Linked DNA regions of Stegostoma tigrinum. The main gene of each other region encodes a partner of the protein of the gene in region 2 in a complex. Links are inferred from orthologs where the notes say so. Each region holds a gene or a part of one and is shown on either strand. Other genes may lie near its edges. The genes, in order: voltage-dependent anion-selective channel protein 1 and spg7.

What was found.
Region 1: spg7 (region 2) and voltage-dependent anion-selective channel protein 1 share a complex: the UniProt entries of both Homo sapiens proteins name them as parts of the mitochondrial permeability transition pore complex. The link is inferred for Stegostoma tigrinum from reciprocal best matches to the Homo sapiens genes SPG7 and VDAC1.

Annotation. Positions count from the first base shown.
Region 1 is NC_081366.1:29,523,154-29,533,352, forward strand, and holds the start of voltage-dependent anion-selective channel protein 1, read right to left. Parts: upstream 4,344-10,199; 5' UTR 4,233-4,343; intron 1-4,232. UniProt on the Homo sapiens protein: Non-selective voltage-gated ion channel that mediates the transport of anions and cations through the mitochondrion outer membrane and plasma membrane.
Region 2 is NC_081369.1:39,397,263-39,407,786, forward strand, and holds the start of spg7 (paraplegin), read right to left. Parts: upstream 4,160-10,524; 5' UTR 4,129-4,159; coding exon 3,892-4,128; intron 1-3,891. UniProt on the Homo sapiens protein: Catalytic component of the m-AAA protease, a protease that plays a key role in proteostasis of inner mitochondrial membrane proteins, and which is essential for axonal and neuron development.

The DNA.
Region 1 (10,199 bases), on a different chromosome or scaffold from region 2:
AGGCATAAAGATCATCTTTAACTTTGAGTTCTACCATTCAAAGTCACTACTAAGTCAATCATCAGGTGTTCTCACTTCATATAATCATTTGCAACATTATAGAATCTCATGACCTATGTATGCAATATTAGTCTGAAAGACCCAAGAGGCATTTCCAAATAAATGTGCTAGTTTGAGCTGATCTTGCACTTAACCTTCCTTTCCCTAATCCTGTTCAATGCATTGCTACATATAATCAGGAAAATTCTGTGATGTTTCACAAAGTTTAAAGAAACCATTATGCTTCCTGTGAAGTAAAAAGGTTTTTCCATTTTTTGTCCACAGATTTACCTAAGATTAAAGGAAACAATCACTTACACCGTATCTGTAACTTGTGACAGTCACTTACCTTGTGGTGATGCCTTTAATGAATGCTTAAGTGCCTGTCACCTGTTCAACTGAAGTTATTGGATGGATTGTGACAGTCTCAATTAATTTGTCAGTTTGTTATACTATGTTCTTAAACTGAGAAGATGCAAGTCCTGCATATCCTAGGAACACCATATTTCATAAACAGTCTGCCAGTCTCATAAGTCCAAACAAATTAGTCTGATAATATATACAATGCTCCAAAGTTACACTATAATAAGTATCTTAAATTTTCTCGTAACTACAGAATAATGCCATTGCATCTGTATTATTCCACAGCTAATATTACCACCCTTAACATAGTGGCAGCTCTTTTGCCAGAGTCAGCAGACTGGTTCCAGAGATGAACAAATCTAAACTATATGCGACTGAAAGCAACTTTGATTACAATACAGTTTGAAGATAAATAGGAAAACAAGCTGTGATGAGGATACAGAGATAATGGGAACTGCAGATGCTGGAGAATCCGAGATAAAGCGTGGAGCTGGATGAACACAGCAGGCCAAGCAGCATCTTAGGAGCACAAAGACTTCAGTTTCGGGCCTAGATCCTTCCCGGGGCCTGAAACATCAGCTTTTGTACTCCTAAGATACTGCTTGGCCTGCTGTGTTCATCCAGCTCCACACTTTGTTATCTGTGATGAGAATACAAATGTTCTGAAAAGGGATATAGACAAGTTAAATGAGTGAACAATAATTTAGCAGAGTGAATATAATGTGGGGAAAATGAGAGTTTATCTAGTATTGCAACAGGAATGAAAGCACAGTGTTATAGAAATACAGGAGACTGCATGATGTTGCAGGGAAGAGAGATTATAATATCCTTGTACATTAATTGCAAAAGGTCAGCATAAACGTGCAGCAAATAATTAGGAAGACAAATGGAATGCTAGTCTTTACTGCAAGAAAAAGTGTATAAAAGTAGAGCATTTTGATACAACTGTACAGAGTACTGCTGAAACTACTCTCTCCAATATTGTGTACAGTTCTGCACCTTACTCAAGGAGAAGCATATTTGCAGTGGAAGTAGTTCAGGGGAGGCTTACACGGCTGATTCTTGGATAAAGGGTTTAACTTATGGAAGACAAGATAAGCACATTGGCCCCTTGCTCATTGAATTTAGAAGAATGAGAGGTAATCTAATTGAACCTTGTTAAATTCTGACAGGGTTTGACATGGCAGTGGCAGGACTCCCTTGTGGGAATCTAGAACTAAGGGGCAAAATTTAAAAATAAGAAATCTCCTATCTGAAATGAAGGTAAGGAAGAATTTCTCCTCTCAGAAGGTTGCTGGTATTTGGAGCTTTCCACCTCAGCAAATAATGGAGGTTGGGTCAATAAAAAGATTTGAAACTGAACTAAAGATTTTTGATTCACAGAAGGACCATGGGGGCTCGGAGAAAAGAGTTAAAATTATGTCAAATCAGCCCCAATCTTACTGAATATTAAAGCAGGTTTGAGGGGTCAAATGGCATATTTCTACTTCAATTTCTTATATCCTGTTTTACGTACATCATCTAAGCTGACACTTCAATGTGGTGCAGAGGGTATACTACTCTGCTGGAGGTTACACTGTTAAACCGAGTCTTATCTGCCCTGTCAAGCAGATGGAAAAATCCCATGCTACTTTTATGCACAAATTGCAACAGGTTATACAATATTATTGATATGGGCTTCAGGACAAGTCATCTGCCTGAATGCCTGGTTGGCATGCGGTAGAAAGAAAACACATCAAACCAGAAAATGCAAAAGTAAAAAAGTACTGTGCTTAGAAAACAGGCTGAGTTTCATGTGCGGAGATAGCAAGAACTGCAGATGCTGGAAGAACACAGCAGGCCAGGCAGCAGAGGAGCAGGGAACTTGACATTTCTGAAGAAGGGACCTGACTCGAAATGAGTTTGTGTGAAGAGTGTTCAGTGCAGTTAACTTTTTTTCAATAATTGTGGTGCATTTGTAGTGCAATAACATATCTGCATAGGTATATATACTAGAATGGTAGACACTAATAGTCTGTGGTTCTAGGCTAATAATCCAGAGATCATTTGTTTAAATACCATGCCAGCATGAAGAACATATATTCAGCTTATACAAAAGCATGGAACTAAAAAGCTGGTATCAGTAACTGTACCACTGCCATTTTTAAAGAAAAAAACAAATGCTTCAGTAACATCTTTAAGAAATGTTTTCTGTTCTTACCTCTCCTGACTTGCGTAGGTAGATTCATTTCCATACCAACTTGAGTCACTGTGAACTTCCAACAAGTGGCATCACAACTCAATCAGTTGACTCAAACACCATGCAGTATTACAAAATGAAAGCCTTTTATCACATTTCCCAACAAGTTGAAAAGGGAAATATTTCTAACCTACTTAGTAACACCCAGATCAAAAAATGAAAAATAAACTGGATGTAGCAACTTGGTTAGTTGCAACATGATATCCACACAATCCTTACAAATTATCATTTGACAATTTAATTCTGGCTTACAAAATAATCGCTCTGTGATAGTTAACATCCCATTTTGCATGAAAATTAAATTCATTGGGAAGTTGAAGGAGTACCTACCACAACGTTCTGAAAATTTGAAGTAGCTCTTCAATGTCCTCATGCAGTTTTATTTCAGGAAACTGACACAAGGGAGGACAAGTACAGAAAACTCTCAAACATATGAACAGATGGATAAAGATTGTATAATATTTTATTGATTTAAGACCAAGCATCACTTCCCAGCTAAGCAATGCCTCAACTTTTAGGGTAAAGAATCCCAACAGCACATGTAACCAAAACAGACTCACTTTTCAACATTTAAAAACATAATATTGGAAACAAGCTTGAAAGGCAATGCATATTTATTTTGATGCTTGATATTTGTTTCCTTATCATTGTGTTTTTCAAATTACAAAGCAAAGGCCAACATTTGAGGAGCAGCCTTCTCCCCATTACACAGGCATGAAAGTCATGTTCAATGATACTGAATACATGTAGTGCCATTTTTACATGAATATCAAGAATAAATTAATGCCCTAAACATATCAAATAAAAGTTTACTATCTATACTCATCAGTCTGAGGGTTCATTACTGACACTAGAGTTAATGAAGTTGTGAAAATGTTTAGCATCTAAGGCAAGTGCTCTCTATGAAGAGAATTTTGAGACTGTTTGCATAATATCTTCGCCTCAAAGTTTCAACCTAAGATTGTGACATGAACATTTTGAAATGTCATTCTAGCCCTAGGACATGTGGGGAACTACTGCCCTTTCCAAATTGGCATGGCTTTCACATGTTGCTAAAATATATTCAGCACATTGGGTACAAACGGCCAGGCTCGAGTATAGTTATGACTAGAGTTCCTAATTAAAGTAAAATACATGTTAAATCGGACATGGAAGACTTTTTTATTACAAAGCAGAAAGAAGATCGCTTGCAAATGCGGCGTTACCTACAAACAGCGTTACAAAGCCTTTGCCCAAAGGACATGCAAGAGCTGTCAGTGCCCCAACCTTGCATGCTGGTAAAGGTCACTCTCCACCCGCCATTCAACAGACTCCAGCGAGACAAACGCATGGATTCTACTCAAGAAATATAAGTTAACGCCTTCAACGAGCTTTGCTATTCCATGGACTCAACCTCGTGGCAGAGAGGTAGATTACGGACCGTAACCCTGGAGAAGAACAGGCAAACATGATGCCATCCACCTACTCCCAGCCCCGGCCTTTAAACTCAAATCCCTTTCCAGCAACGTCCAGAATTTTCACTCCCGCCTCTCTCCTTGTGAACATAGACTACCTGACATGTCCTCTTCTCGCCGGTGTTACACAAACATACCTCTGAAGAGCTGGGAGGGAAAGCTTCCAGCCGACAATTTCCAAACGAACAACTCAGCAGCACACACTGACCGAAAGGGAACGACTGCACATGCGCTGATGCCCCGGGACGTGGAGTCAACGGCGCGTGCGCAGTCAAGGGGAGGGGGCGGGCGAACGGCGGCGCGTGCGCAGTGAGGGGCGGCGACGGAGGGGAGCGGCTCCAGGGAATGACTGTTGTGCTGATAACAAAGTGTGGAGCTGAATGAACACAGTAGGCCAAGCAGCATCTCAGGAGCTTCAAAATCTCCCCTTCCTCTACTGAGGGCTGGTTTTGGGATGCAGTAGGGGAAGGGGAGATTTTGAATCTCCTGAGATGCTGCTTGGCCTGCTGTGTTCATCCAGCTCCACACTTTGTTACCTTGGATTCCCCAGCATCTGCAGTTCCCATTATCAATGACTGAGCGCTGCTGCGGCACATTTTCAACTGGTCAGTGACAACGTTTGCACCCTGCTGGAGACACATGTGCTTATGAATAAACCGACTGTTGGCTTCGCAATGGCATAGTGAGAAGGGGCGTGTTCCTGCTTTCGATGAAGTATTTCGTAAATGGGTTGAGATGATTCCTAGGTGGAGTTTCAGCAGAGAAGTCGGACAGGGCTGAAGCATTGCGGTATGAGCAAATGAGAAATTACTATTTTAGAATTTATTTTGGCTCAAGTGGGATATGTCTAATGTTACTCACGGACTCCTCACATAGGCAGAATGGGTAGACGTTACCTGACTGTGGCAAGCCAGCTGATAGAGTGAGGGCACAATTACATTTCTTCGAAATAACCAGGTGTAGAGCTGGATGAACACAACAGGCCCAGCAGCATCAGAGGAGCAGGAAAGCTGATGTTTCGGGCCTAGTCCCTTCATCAGAAAAGAGGGAGGGGGAGAGGGGTAGACGGATCGAAGATGGATAGAGAAGATAGGTGGAGGGGAGACAGACAAGCTAAAGAGGCGAGGATGGAGCCAGTAAAGGTGAGTGTAGTTGGGGAGGTAGGGGGGAGATATGTCAGTCCAGGGAGGACGGTCTGATGCCATTTTTTCGAACGTTCCTTTTTCGCACAGTCATTGCAATTGAAAGTTCCGCGATAGACGTGGTGAGCAATAAACCTATCATTCATTAACAATAATGTGTGCTGACTCTAGTCACTTCATTCGGTCTCTACGTACGCATTGCAATAGCAGTCTTTACGTTTTGCAAGTCCCATTATTCTCTGTGTGCTTTGTCGTTGGCTGATCCTGTGATATGTGCTCGTTCGAATGTTGATACTGCTTGTCCAGGGAGTTCCATTCCTGTGGTGATGCTGTTGCCCTGATATCTCTTGTTGTGAATCCGTTTCTGTTGCTGGGTAACAGTGGCTCTCAAGGAGTGATGCCCATTCTGTAGATAATGAAATCGATTCTTCCTGATCCATTGCCTCCTGTGAATGCACAACTTCTCTAGTTGTACATGCATGTTGCATGTTCCCTTGAACAAATTGAGATGACAACTGCTCGTCACAGGTCCCAACTTAGTAATTAGGCTGACTTTTATTGAAAGCGCCGAAGATTTACACACTGACTTGTTCTCTAATACTCAGCTCTGGTCATGCCTTGGCAGTTTTAACTGGTTTGGTCAAATTTGGTTTTCCGCCATTTCACCTTGAATTTTTGTGCATAATAATAATCTTTGGACTGGGTGACTTTCTGTGCCTTCAGTTGATGTATTTTTTTGCTGAAGGATTGCCTTATACAACTCTGCTGAATTTTCTCAATTTCTTTGTGATCCCTTTGATACATTGAACTGCAGCTTCAACCTTTCCATTTTACTCAGGATGGCATGAAATTGTATACTTTTGAATTTTCTAATTCTTTATGAAACAACTGAACACTGAGTAACATTGTTACTCATGACAATATCTGGAATACTGTAATGACTGAAGTGCTTTCAGGCATTCTACAATCTCACTGATTATCATGAACACCAGCTGGTCAAACTTCCAGTGGTCAGAATAGTAATCGATGATAACAAAGTAATCAGTCACTGCAACAGTGAAGACATCTACTTCAGGCTTCACCCATAGTCTGCCTCGGATGTCATGTGTCCTCAGTGTCTCCCTGACTTGCTGACCTTGGTATTTGTTACAAACGTTGTGTTGGTTTTAGTTCGTAATCATTGTTCATGTTTGGCCAGTAGAGCGCTTTTCTTGCCTTCCTCAGACCAGACTCAATCCCTTGATGGCTAGCATGGATGCGGTTCAGTATACTTCTCACTTCCTTAAGGATAATGACTACTTGGTTTGTACCAGATGCCGTACTGGGCTCTTTCTTTGTCTCTCTATGCCAAATAGTCTTACAGCTACATCTGTGTCCTTCATGGTTTCAGGCCATCTTTTCATCATTGCTTCCTGCAGGATTTGGAGAGTTACATCTTGTGTATAATTCACCTTATTTGAGTAAGACCCTTGTAGTTCAGATTCATTGCCTCTGCTGGGTTGCTGATTTCTAGAACAGTTGCTCCATATTGAAGCTGGAAGATTTCACCCTCTGCATTAGCATTCTCAACTTTCTTAATTAAGAATGCAGCTCTCAACAGAAGAGTGTATATCCATTTCCCTTGCTTATATTTTCATGCCCAACTTGTATCTTCGCAAAGTTAGTCGCATTCTTTGTTGCGAATAGAAGCAGTTTGAGGAAGAGCAGTTGTGGCCAGAGTGCACTCTCAGCTTGCCTCTCCCAAATAGTTCTCACTTTGTCAGGTTCCAGGCAAAGTGCATTTACTGTCAGTACAGTACTTGAATTCAGGCATCTTCAATTGCATCTTCTTGTTCAGATTCAGGCACCTGGCGAGCACACTAGCAATTACACCAGATTTTGATCGTAATCTGTGATGGGTTCTTTCGTTCTGTCTCCACAATATGATCAAAAATTGCTTGCACTTCATTAAGGTCACTGATAATCTCACGTTGTCAGCATTGACACTCTTTTGGGACAATGCAAGTGCCTAACAGCATATGCATGTAAATATCTCTCCCAGATGGCATCCAGAGTTTTAAAAGTTTTTAAAAAAAACTTGTTTTCATCCAGCTTCACTTCTTAGTAACCAACCATAGAATCAAAGGTAGTGAATACCTTCGTCTTGATAAGTTGTAGCAATGTTCCTTTGGCTGGCACCATGAAATGATATCACTTCAAGGCTTTGTTGAGATCCTTTGGATCCATATATGCTATCTTCTTTCTAGGTTTGTTTCCAATGTTCTTCTAAAGCAGTTCTATGTTGTCTTTCAGAATGGAACTTTTCTTGACAGGTGCTGGGTTGGTCACCGCCCTCATTTACTTTGGGATAATATTCATTGGGAAGATATCCAACATCTGTAAAAAGACACCTTTGTAATTTTTCAGGATCTGTTCAGAGTTAATGGCTTACTGGCCTGCAAAACCCAGTAAATCTCTTCTGTAATGTTTAAGCTTAGAGTTTAGAACATAGAAGAGTACAATACAGGAACAGGCACTTTGGTCCACCATATGTCAACCATAATGACATTCTGAACTAATCCCATCTGCCTGCATATGATCTGTATCTGTCTATACCCTGTGTGTTCATGTGTCCGTTCAAATGCCTCCTAAATGTTGCTATCATATCTGCTTCTATCACCGCTCCAGGCAGCTCATTCCAGGCGCCTACCTCTGCACAAAAAAACGTATCCCGCATATCTCCTTTAAACTTTTCCCCCTCACCTGAAACCTATTTCACCTTATCCATAATTTTATATACTTTTATCAGGTCATACCTCAGCCTCAAATGCTGTAGCAAAAACAATGCAAGTTTGTCCAACCTCTCCTTATAGTTAATCTGTTCCAATTCAGACAACATCCAGACAAACCTCTTTTGAACTCTCTCCAAAGCCTTCTCTTCCTTTCTAGGATGTGGCAAAAATTAATGCACACAACACTCTAAATGGGGCCTAACTAAAGTTTTACGCAGCTGCCACATGACTTGTCAACTTCTCAGTTTCCAGTAGACAACCTTTCTCGCTATCCAAAACTCCACCAATTTTCACATTATCTGCCAACCTACTAATCAGACCACCTATATTTTCATTCAACGCATTTATGAATGTTGCAAACAACAAAGGTCCCAGCATTGATCCTTTTGGAACACCACTGGTCACAGACCTTCAGTCAGAAATGAACCCCTCCTCAACTACCCTTTCTCTTCTATAACAAAGCCAATTTTGTATCCCAACTTGCCAACTTACCACAGATCCCACAAGACTTAATTTTCCAATCAAGCCTACCATGAGCAACCTTGTCAAACACCTCAGTAAAGTCCATGTAGACAACATCCACTGCCTTACCACCATTATCATCTTCAACACTAACTCTTAAAAATTCAATCACATTTGTCGGACAAGAACTGCCTTGCAGAGAGCCACTCTGACTATTCATAATAAGTCAGTTTTCTTTCCAAACATGAGTAAATCTTGGCCTTAACAATCTTCTGCAGTAATTTCCCCGCCACTGATGTAAGTGGCCTACAATTTTGTGGATTATCCCTGTCACCCTTTATAATCAAAGGAACAACATTGGTTATTCTCTAGTCTTCAGGGAACTTGCCTGCTACTAATGAGGATACGAAGATTCCAGCAATCTCCTCACTTGCATTCCTCAGTATTCTCGGATAGATCTTGTCAGACCGTAGGACCAGTCTTACCCTTTTCCATAAGGTTTAAGGTAGTTATGGATCTATGATCACTGTTCCTGAAATGCTTCCCCACTGAAACTTCAATCACCTGGCCATGCTCATTCCCCAATACAATATCTGACATGGCTCCTTCCCTAATTGGATTATCCATATGATGTTTCAAGAGTCCCTCCTGGATGCTCCTAATAAATTCTGCCACATCTAAGCCCCTAGCACAGTGGGAATCTCGGTCACTATTGGAAGAGTTAAAATCACCCCAACAACACCTCTGTTGTTTTTACACCTTTCCATGATTTGCTTACATATCTGTTCCTCATATCTCCCACTGGCTATCGGGAAGCCTACAGTATAGCTCACTATAATGATTGCAAATTTCTTATTCCTTTGTCTTACCCATATGGCCTTGCTGGATGAGCCCTCCAAGATGCCCTGTCTTAGTGCAACTGTGACATTCTCCTTAATCAGTAATGCAACTCCCCAACTCCTTTAACATCCCTTTCTATTACACTCTCTCATTAGTTCACAGTTAGGAAAGGTGGCTAATACATTAAGATTACAGTTTCATTTCTCTAAGCAGTTTAATTTGCCTTATGCTAAATAATCTGCGTATGCAGAACCTATGGTCAAGATAGAAGGTTATTGCTACCTGGTCTAGAACAATACAAACTTGAAGAATACTATTAATCTTTCTTACTCCTTATCATATGATCATTTGTAGAATCTAAAGTAAACTATTCTTAAGTAGCCTAACTTGAAATGTGTTGAGAGCTCTGCTGCTACTTTTAGTTTTTGTTCTCACTGTCTCATAAACAACATCACAATGGTTGCGAATATGTTCTGAAGGAGTCATTAGGCCTGAAATGTTAACTTTGCTTTCTCTCCACAGATGCTACCAGACCCGCTGAGCTCCTTCAGCATTTTCTGTTTTTGTGTTGACAGAAGATCCCTGACAAGGCACTAAAGATATTAAATTACAAACAAAACCAAGATTGGAAACTGATGGAAATGTTTATGTGATAAGGACTGTATAAGTATCAGTTTGGGTCTGGACCTGAAGATCTGCAGATTGACACCGGAGGTGAATGAAGCCTCAACCAATTCAGACCTACAATGCCAACAGCCTAACTACTTAAGAGTGGTCCTAAGTGTACATTCTAGCAACAAGATAGGACAACCACCTAGAAACAGAGACTCACATGAGGATTTTATGGGTGACAATGAGTTTTGAATTAATGTTTAACGAATACTACAGT
Region 2 (10,524 bases):
AGGTCAGGAGGAATGGGATACAGGGGAACTTAGCTGCTTGGACACAAAATTGGCTGGCCAACAGAAGACAGCGAGTGGTAGTAGAAGGAAAATATTCTGCCTGGAAGTCAGTGGTGAGTGGGGTTCCACAGGGCTCTGTCCTTGGGCCTCTACTGTTTGTAATTTTTATTAATGACTTGGATGAGGGGATTGAAGGATGGGTCAGCAAGTTTGCAGACGACACAAAGGTCGGAGGTGTCGTTGACAGTGTAGAAGGCTGTTGTAGGCTGCAGCGGGACATTGACAGGATGCAGAGATGGGCTGAGAGGTGGCAGATGGAGTTCAACCTGGATAAATGCAAGGTGATGCATTTTGGAAGGTCGAATTTGAAAGCTGAGTACAGGATTAAGGATAGGATTCTTGGCAGCGTGGAGGAACAGAGGGATCTTGGTGTGCAGATACATAGATCCCTTAAAATGGCCACCCAAGTGGACAGGGTTGTTAAGAAAGCATATGGTGTTTTGGCTTTCATTAGCAGGGGGATTGAGTTTAAGAGTCGTGAGATCTTGTTGCAGCTCTATAAAACTTTGGTTAGACCGCACTTGGAATACTGCGTCCAGTTCTGGGCGCCCTATTATAGGAAAGATGTGGATGCTTTGGAGAGGGTTCAGAGGACGTTTACCAGGATGCTGCCTGGACTGGAGGGCTTATCTTATGAAGAGAGGTTGACTGAGCTCGGTCTCTTTTCATTGGAGAAAAGGAGGAGGAGAGGGGACCTAATTGAGGTATACAAGATAATGAGAGGCATAGATAGAGTTGATAGCCAGAGACTATTTCCCAGGGCAGAAATGGCTAGCACGAGGGGTCATAGTTTTAAGCTGGTTGGTGGAAAGTATAGAGGGGATGTCAGAGGCAGGTTCTTTACGCAGAGAGTTGTGAGAGCATGGAATGCGTTGCCAGCAGCAGTTGTGGAAGCAAGGTCATTGGGGTCATTTAAGAGACTGCTGGACATGTATATGGTCACAGAAATTTGAGGGTGCATACATGAGGATCAATGGTCGGCACAACATTGTGGGCTGAAGGGCCTGTTCTGTGCTGTACTGTTCTATGTTCTATGGGCGAGTTGGGCCGAATGGCTTGTTTCTGTGCTGGATAACTGATTCTATGATCTTAGCCATGACATCAGGGAATGGTGGACAATACTCACTGGGGCAAATGGTCTACTTCTGCTCCTACAACTTCTGGTTTTAACTGAATCTTTTGACGAGGTGATAAGCAAGATTAACAAGCGTAACACAATTAATCTGATCTACGTGATTTTTTGCAAGGTTTTTTTACAAGGACTCACATAGCTGAATGGTTTTAAAAAACCCATGGGGACCACAGGAATGTAGCAAGCTAAATACAAAATTAACTCAGTGACAGGATACAGGTATAATAACTCAGGGTATTTTTCAAATTGGGAAACTGCTTCCAGTGGTATCAATACCTGGTGACTTGCATTTTGTTGTCTGTATGAATGACTTGAGCTTGAAGTTAGGGGCCACAATCAAGACATTTGCAGACAATGCAAAAATTGGCCACATATTAGAATGCAAATTACATGCAGGGAACAAACAGATCTACTTTAAAATATGCACATGTAGACAGGGTAGTTAAAAAGGCCTTTGGCACACTTGCCGTCATTGCTCAGTCCTCTGAGCATCAGAATTAGGAAGTCATATTGAGGTTCTACACGACATTAGTGAGGCCACTTCTAGAATACCGAGTCCAGTTCTAATCACCCAGTCAGAGGTAGGATACTCTCAAGCTGGACAGGAATCACAGAAGATTTACTAGGAAGCTGCTGGGTGTGAAAGGGTGGATTGGCTAGGATGTTTTTCGCTGGAGCACAGGAGGTAGGGAGGTGACCTGATAGAAGTTAATAATTTAATGAGGTATTGATCGAGTAAACGGTGGTTGCTTTTTCCCTAGGATAGGGGATTTCAAGACTAGGGGGCACTTTTTTTATGGTGAGAGGAGAGAAATTTAAAAAAGACATGAGGCAATTTTTTTTTACACTGAGGGTAGTTCGCACATGGAATAAACTTCCTGAGGAAGTGATGGTGGCGGGTACAATAACAATGTTTAAAAGACATTTGGGTAGATCCACGAAGAGGAAAGGTTTGGAAGGATACGGGCCAGGAGCAACCAGTTGGGACTAATTTAGTTTGGGATTATGTTCGGCACGGACTGGTTGGGCCAAAGGATCTGTTGCTGTGTTGTATAACTCCATGGTTGATAGGGAGGACTGAAACTGTAGAATGCACAAGGGAATCAATGGACTGGTCAAATAAGCAAAAAAGTGAAAAAAATGGTATTCATCCTGGAGAAGTATGAGCCAATGTATTTGGGGAGGTCAAACAAGGCAGAGGAATTGGGGAGGCAATGGACTAACAGTATTTGCACTAAAGGGACTAAGGTAATGTTCTGGGGATAGGGTTTGAATCCAGCTGTGGCAGATGGTGCAATTTTAATTCAATTTAAAAAATCTGCAAGAGTAATGATGCCTATGAAACCATTGTTGGGGGGAAAACTATTTAGCTCACATATATTTAAGGGGAAGAAATTGCTGTCCTGATCTGGCCTACGTATGACTCCAGACCCACAGCAATATGGTTGATCCTCTGGGTAATTAGAGACAGCCAATAAATACAGGCCCAGCCAATGATGCACACATTCCATGAAAAAAATTTTAAAAATACATAATAAATGGGAGGACATAGAAGTGTAGGCCAAGTGTATATCCGTGGGTCATTGAATGCAGTGTAACAGGTAGATTAGATAGCAAGAAGGCAGATTAATGTTTTCCTTCATTAGCCATTATTAGTACAAGATTAGGTGAATTGTGCTGGAGCTAGGTAAGACATTAGCTAGTCCATAATTTATGTACTAACTGCAGTTCTGATCACCCCATTACGGTAGATGGGCTAAAGGTGGTACATGGCAGGTTTACAAGAATGTAACCAGGAGTGTAAAATTGAAGCTTTGACAAGAGATTGGGAGACCATGGTGCTTTCCTTCGAACTGAGGCAGCTCAGGACGCATTTTTTTGAAGAGTACAAAATTGAGAGAGCCTGCTTAGAATGGATGGGCAGGATCTATTTACATTAGCAGAAGAGTCGGTGACTAGAATGCATTACTATCAAGTGATTAGGAGAAGGGAGAAGAGGAAGTTTATTTTCACCTAGTGGATGGTAGGAGTCTAGAAGTCCTGCCTGAACGGATGGCAGGGGCAAAACTCTCAAATTATTTTAAAAGTATCTGGTATGCACCTGATGTCCCATTACCTGGAGGATGCAGACCAAGTGCTAAAAGAAGTGATTAAGCTAGGTGGTTCATTCTTGATGTAAAATGGGCAGAGTGGCATTCCATTGTGCCATAAGTGTTTCTCATTATCTGAGGAGATCAAATGTTCCAAGGATATGGGGAGAAGGCAATGGAGTAGCAGTACACAAGTGGTTATTTTAAGGGGTCAGCACAGATTAATCAAGTGGCCAATATTTAACAATTTGCATGAAATTCTTCCTAGGATCTCTCCATAACGATACAGGGTGCAATTAGGGAGGGTGGTAGACTTTAAATCACCAACACACACATGATGAGCCAAACTGTTGTTTCTCTATCCTAAAATTTAACTTCCACTAATTGAAGTTTACGTTTTTTCAGTCCTACTCGCCTAAATTATTTTCAACGCTATCCCCTATTACCCTGTCATTTAATGTTACGTAACGGCCTAAGGAGCACTTTCAAATACTACGTACAAAGTACAGAAATCGTGCACCTATTTCATATCATTATCAATAGCAATCGAAGTTCTTTTCAATCCACCCGACATTTCTTCGAAAAGCAATACAAATAACACTGACTCACCTTTAATATAGGATCCCTGTCTTGATGACAACAGGATCTACTGAAATCAAATCGCGTCCTTCCTAAGTCACAAATTCCACTGGCAAAGTTCCATCTCAAGGCCTCTTTCGGGAAAGCAGCGCTCAAAGCAAAAGTCCGAAATTGCAAAGACTTTTTGTTAAAAGACCACAATACCGCTGGAAGATTTCTCGCACAGCCACTGTGCTGCTGCAGCTGCCAGGCTAACCAGGCGGCCATCTTGAACCAACTGTCCGTCACCTTCCCTGACAACCTGGCAACGCGTCAGAAACACTAGCGCATGCGCAGTGCGACAGGCTGGGGTCTAGGACAGTGATAATGTGTCGGCCTGTCTGAAGTAAAATTATACACTTTGTTGGGCAATCAAAAATAATTTCTTTACAATTTCTCAAACCAATTTGCCTTTATAGGCAAATAAAAACAATAATTCCCCGAACGAAAGTAAAAGGCGGATGCCGGAAATTGGAAACAAAAACAAAAATTGCTAGAACCAATGAAGAGTCACCGGATCCGATACGTTAATTCTGTTTTCTCCCCGCAGATGATGCCAGACATGCTGAGTTTTCCAAACAATTTGTGGCTTTACAGGCACGTATTCAATTTATGACTACTTGTACTGTATTAATATTCAAAGGGTATTTCAGGTTTTAGAATCACAGCATGGTTACGGAACAGAAGGCAGTTATTCGGTCAGCCTGGCCTTGATACGAATGACACTCAACCATTTCCACCACACTCCCTTCTCCCTGTAGCTCTGCAAATTCTCTCTGTTGAATTTTCCTTTTGAAACCTTTGAATCCACCTCAACCACACTTTGAGGTAGTTCATTCTCTATCCGTTATGTGGATGGTAGCCATGGTGTACAGGTGCCGATATTGGACTGGGGTGGGCATGCATGGTCAGACGTCACACAACTGCAGGTTATAATCCAAAGGTTTATTCTGAATTACAAGTTTTTGGAGTGCTGGGTTTTTTTTGTGTCAGTTGAAATGAAGATAATCACACAGGCAAAAAATTTACAGGCAGTGAAGTCAAAAGATCATACAAATGCTGTGAGCGGCGTGTCTACAGGCTGATTAGCAAGTGAAAGGATGGCATATGATCTGATTAATTGAGGCAGAGAGATAACGACAAAAACTTTTAAAAATCAGATGGTGCTGGAGACAAACCAAAATGGCTGGAATAACGTGATAGGTATGAGTCACGTATTGAGGGTCTAACCAATGTAAAAAGTAATCTAAAGCTGTACAAACTAATTAAGGTGCCCTGAACTAATTAAGGCAATTAAATTGTCCAGGTATGACTTTTATACAAGAAGCATGGCAAATCCAACCCAGCCAATTACTATCCCGTCAGGCTGCTCTCAATAATTGGTAAAGTGATGGAAACCGTCATCGGTGATAATGGGAACTGCAGATGCTGGAGAATCCAAGATAATAAAATGTGAGGCGCTGGATGAACACAGCAGGCCCAGCAGCATCTCAGGAGTACAAAAGCTGACATTTCGGGCCTAGACCCTTCATCAGAGAGGGGGATGGGGTGAGGGTTCTGGAATAAATAGGGAGAGGCGGACTGAAGATGGAGAGAAAAGAAGATAGGTGGAGAGGAGAGTATAGGTGGGAGGTGATAGGTCAGTCCAGGGAAGATGGACAGGTCAAGGAGGTGGGATGAGGTTAGTAGGTAGGAGATGGAGGTGCAGCTTGGGGTGGGAGGAAGGGATGGGTGAGAGGAAGAACAGGTTAGGGAGGCAGAGACAGGCTGGGCTGGTTTTGGGATGCAGTGGGTGGAGGGGACGAACTGGGCTGGTTTTGGGATGTGGTGGGGGAAGGGGAGATTTTGAAGCTGGTGAAGTCCACATTGATACCATTGGGCTGCAGGGTTCCCAAGCGGAATATGAGTTGCTGTTCCTGCAACCTTCGGGTGGCATCATTGTGGCATTGCAGGAGGCCCATGATGGACATGCCATCTAAAGAATGGGAGGGGGAGTGGAAATGGTTTGCGACTGGGAGGTGCAATTGTTTATTGCGAACCGAGGTCATCAGCAGTGATATAAAGCAGCACCTACTCAGCAATAACTGGCTCGCTGACATCCAGGTTGGGATTCATCAGGGACACTCAGCTCCTGATCTCATTACAGCCTTGGTTCAAACATGGAGAAAAGAGATGAATTTCAGCGGTGAGGTGAGACTGACAATCTTTGACATCGAAACCGCATTCACCCAAGTGTGGCACAAGGAGCCGTAGCAAATTAAGCCCTAGGAATCAATGAATATCTGGTGACACACTCTCTGCTGGTTGGAGTCATACTTGGCACACAGGAAGACGGTTGTGGTTGTTGGAAGTCAGCTCCAGGACATCTATGCAGGAGTTCCTCAGGGTAGTGTCCTAGTCCCAGTAATCATCAATGCCATTCCTTCCATCATAAAGTCAGCAGCAGGGATGTTTGCCAAAAAGTGCACATATTCAGCACCATTTGTGACTCCTCAGATACTGAAGCAGTCCATATTAAAATACAAGGCTTGGATTGACAAGTGGCAAATAACATTTACACCATACAAATGCCACAAGAGATAATTTAACCATCATCCCTCGACATTCACTGGTGTTACCATCACTGAATGTCCCATTATTTCCCATTATCAACATTCCTTGTTCAGCAACATTCCCCAGGATCTTACCATTAACTGTATAAGTCATGCCCCAATTTGCCTTTCCGAATTGCAGCACCACACATTTATCTAAATCAAATATCTGCCATTCTCCAGCCCATTTGCCCACCTATCAAGATCCTGATGTACTCTGAGATAACCTTCTTTGCTAAGATAACAAGGTGTGGAGATGGATGAACACAGCAGGCCAAGCAGCATCTCAGGAGCACAACAGTTGATGCTTCGGGCCTAGACCCTTCATCAGAGAGGGGGATGGGGAGAGGGAACTGGAATAAATAGGGAGAGAGGGGGAGGCGGACCGAAGATGGAGAGAAAAGAAGATAGGTAGAGAGGAGAGTATAGGTGGGGAGGTAGGGAGGGGATAGGTCAGTCCAGGGAAGACGGACAGGTCAATGAGGCGGGAGAGGTGGTAGGTAGGAAATGGAGGTGCAGCTTGAGGTAGGAGGAAGGGATGGGTGGGAGGAAGAACAGGTTAGAGAAGCGGAGACAGTCTGGGCTGGTTTTGGGATGCAGTGAGGGGAGGGGAAGAACTGGGCTGGTTTTGGGATGCAGTGGGGGAAGGGGAGATTTTGAAGCTTGTGAAGTCCACATTGATACCATTGGGCTGCAGGGTTCCGAAGCGGAATATGAGTTGCTGTTCTTGCAACCTACGGGTAGCATCATTGTGCCAGCAATACCAATGCAAAACAGCAGCGGTTTCACATTGGCGGGAGTTAAGATGACTGCAATGCAAAGAAGTCAACAGGACTTGAATCTGGCTTGATATTTTACATCATTGAATTACATATATTTTAATATAAGCTAGCGTCTCTCTCAGGGCACTGCTCACTGTAGATAACAGAATTCCTAAAAAGTCCTTCATTACTCAGAGCATTGAATATTGGAGTTGGGATGTTATATTGAGGATGTACAGGACATTGGTGAGCCCTCTTCAAATATTGTGTCTAGTCCTGGTCATTCAATTATAGGCAAAATATTATTAAGCTGGAGAGGGTTCAGAAGAGATTTACCAGAATGTTACCAGGAATGGAGGGTTTCAGTTGTAAAGGCTGGATAAGCTGGGGCATTTTTTACAGGAGCACAGTTGGTTGAGGGGTCACCTGATAGAGGTTTACAAAATAATGAGGGATATAGGTAAAGTGAATGGCAGCTGTCTTTTCCCTCAGGTGCGTGATTTGAAGACTAGCGGGCATATTTTTAAGATGAGAGGAGAAAGACTTAAAACAAAAAGACATGAGTGGCAGCTTTTTTTTCTTTACACAGAGAATGGTTTGTATGTGGAATGAACTTTCAGAGATACAGGTACAGTTACAATTTTAAAAAACATTTATGTAAGTTTATGAATGGGAAATGTTTGGAGGGATATGGGCAAAACACAGGCAAGTGGATCGAGTTTAGTTTGGGATTATGGTCGACCTGGACTGGTTGGACTGAAGGATCTATTTCCATGCAAGATGATTATGACTCCTGTCCTATGACTCAGATAGTAGCTACCTCTGCCCTTAAATGGGCGACCTATCTGTTCTTGCTGATTATATCCACCTTAGAAGGCAGATGGGCGTATGGATTCACTTTGAAAGGAAGATGAGTCCTTAAATTTAGATATTTTGTAATCAATCTGTTCAGATAAGTTATAAGAAATCAAGCACAGTTGGACTGGGAATCCACATATTGGAGATGGGGCACAGGTCAAATAGAATGATGAGTTATTACATGGAAAGCAGAGTTTTAAATAATATTAACTTTTTGGAGGGATGAAAATTGGAGGTTGGCCAGGAGGGCATTTTTAAGAGATTCATCAACAAACAAACCAAGGCAAGGTTGGAGCAGATGATATCAAATGTCCCTGCCTGGATCCGCCATCACCTTAGCACCCAGGCAATACTTCATGTCTACGAGGTAAGAACGAAAATCATTTGCCATTACAAATGACATTTGAAAAGAATCTTGGAACATGGGCATCGCTGACAAGGCTTGATGGCAAGAACTTGACCAAAAAAAGGTCAATACATAGAAATAATAAAATGCAAAGATATTGAAAATCTCTAGTTTAACAAACATTCACTCATCAATTGGTCTTGCAGAGACTTCCTCCCTAATCCCACATTAACAAGGATGAGTTGTGGGTGCTGCCAGAGTTAGTTGGCACTCCAATCTGGAATTATGTTGTTGGCATGACATACCATTGCACATTCATGGAATACAAGTCTTTTTTTGTTTATTCGGCTTTACATTTTCCTGTCAGATGCACGGATGTGAGTACAGCGGCAGAACTCAAGGCATTGAGAATTCATCAATTTCAAAGAATAGTACTCTTGTTCATAGTAGGATACTCGCTAGCTAAAAGAGAGAAACATCCTGCAGAATGGATCAACAATCACTAGAAAGATGACTTTGTACATTGCATTACTGATAGGCTATTTATTGCTTTCTAAAGCCACAGTAACAAAGATAAAGTGGAGAAGTCACTTTCATGGGCATTAGAGTGCAGACAGTTAACCATACACTTGAAATTCTTTTAAACTGTTCAACGTTTTAAAAAATATTTATCCTCCATCTCTGCAAATAACAGTTCATCACAAGCTAATATGCTCAGTGTATGTAATAAAGCAAAAAATACACTTGAAATTCTTTTAAACTGTTCAACGTTTTAAAAAATATTTATCCTCCATCTCTGCAAATAACAGTTCATCACAAGCTAATATGCTCAGTGTATGTAATAAAGCAAAAAATTGCAGAGGCTTAAGATCTGAAACCGAAGGAAAAAACAGAAATTGCTGATGAAACCCAGCAAGTGTGGCAGAATCTATGGGAAGAAAGCAAAGTTAAGGTTTCAAGGCTAGTAATTCTTCATCAGAACTAACGATAGAAGCACCACAACTTACTTATCCTTGTTAATTTGGGAATAGGGAGGAAGTTTTTCCAAGACCAATTGATGAGTAAACATTTGTTAAACTAGACACTTTCAGAACCTTTGCAGTCTATTATTTTTATGTCTTGACATTTTTTGGACAAGTTCTTGGCATCAAGCTATCTCAAATTTAGGCAATGCTCTTACAACACTGATTGTAGAATCAATTTTAAGAAGGGTATCCTACTTAATTTTAATTTACCTGTCCTAAAAGTAAACCATTTTGACATGGTCAAAATTGAAATTGGCAGCCTTTGGGAAAATTTGCCTCATTATTTATTCCATCACAAATTAAAAATTGTGAATGTTAGCATAATGGTTGTGTTAATAGACTACTAATCTAGGGATTATGATCTGATGATATGTGCTCAAATCCCATCACAGTAGCTAGGGAATTTAAAGTCAGTTAATTAAATCAATCTGCAATAAAAAAGTTAATAATATCCTTTAGGAAAGGAAATCTGTTGCCTTAGTCAAGGTTTTACCTAGAAGCATCTCGAGACCAAAGTAATGCGATTGTCTATTTCAGACAGAACTTGAACACATAACTAAATTGACTCCTACCACAACATTAGCTGACTTTGCTGCTGATATCTCTGTTCTTGTGGGTGAGTAGAAAAAAAAAGTGCAATAATATGGGTGGCACAGTGGCTAGCACTGCAGCCTCACAGCACCAGGTTCTCAGGTTTGATTCCAGCCTCCAGTCTGTGTGGAGTTTGCACATTCTTCCCATGTCTGTGTAGGTTTCCTCCAGGTGCTCCAGTTTCCTCCCACAGTCCAAAGATGTGCAGGCTAGGTGGATCAGCTAGGCTAAATTGCATGTGTTCAGGGGTGTGTGGGATGCTCCAAAGGGCAGTGTGGACTTGTTGGATCAAAGGGCCTGTTTCCACACTGTGGGGAATCTAATACAAGGAGTATAAATTATAATTATACAAATTATAAATTCTTTTAAGAATTGATTTGTTCAGAAAAGTCTTTACTTTTACAGGTATTTTACAACATCGACCATTTGTCTATTGCCATGCCATGAAACAA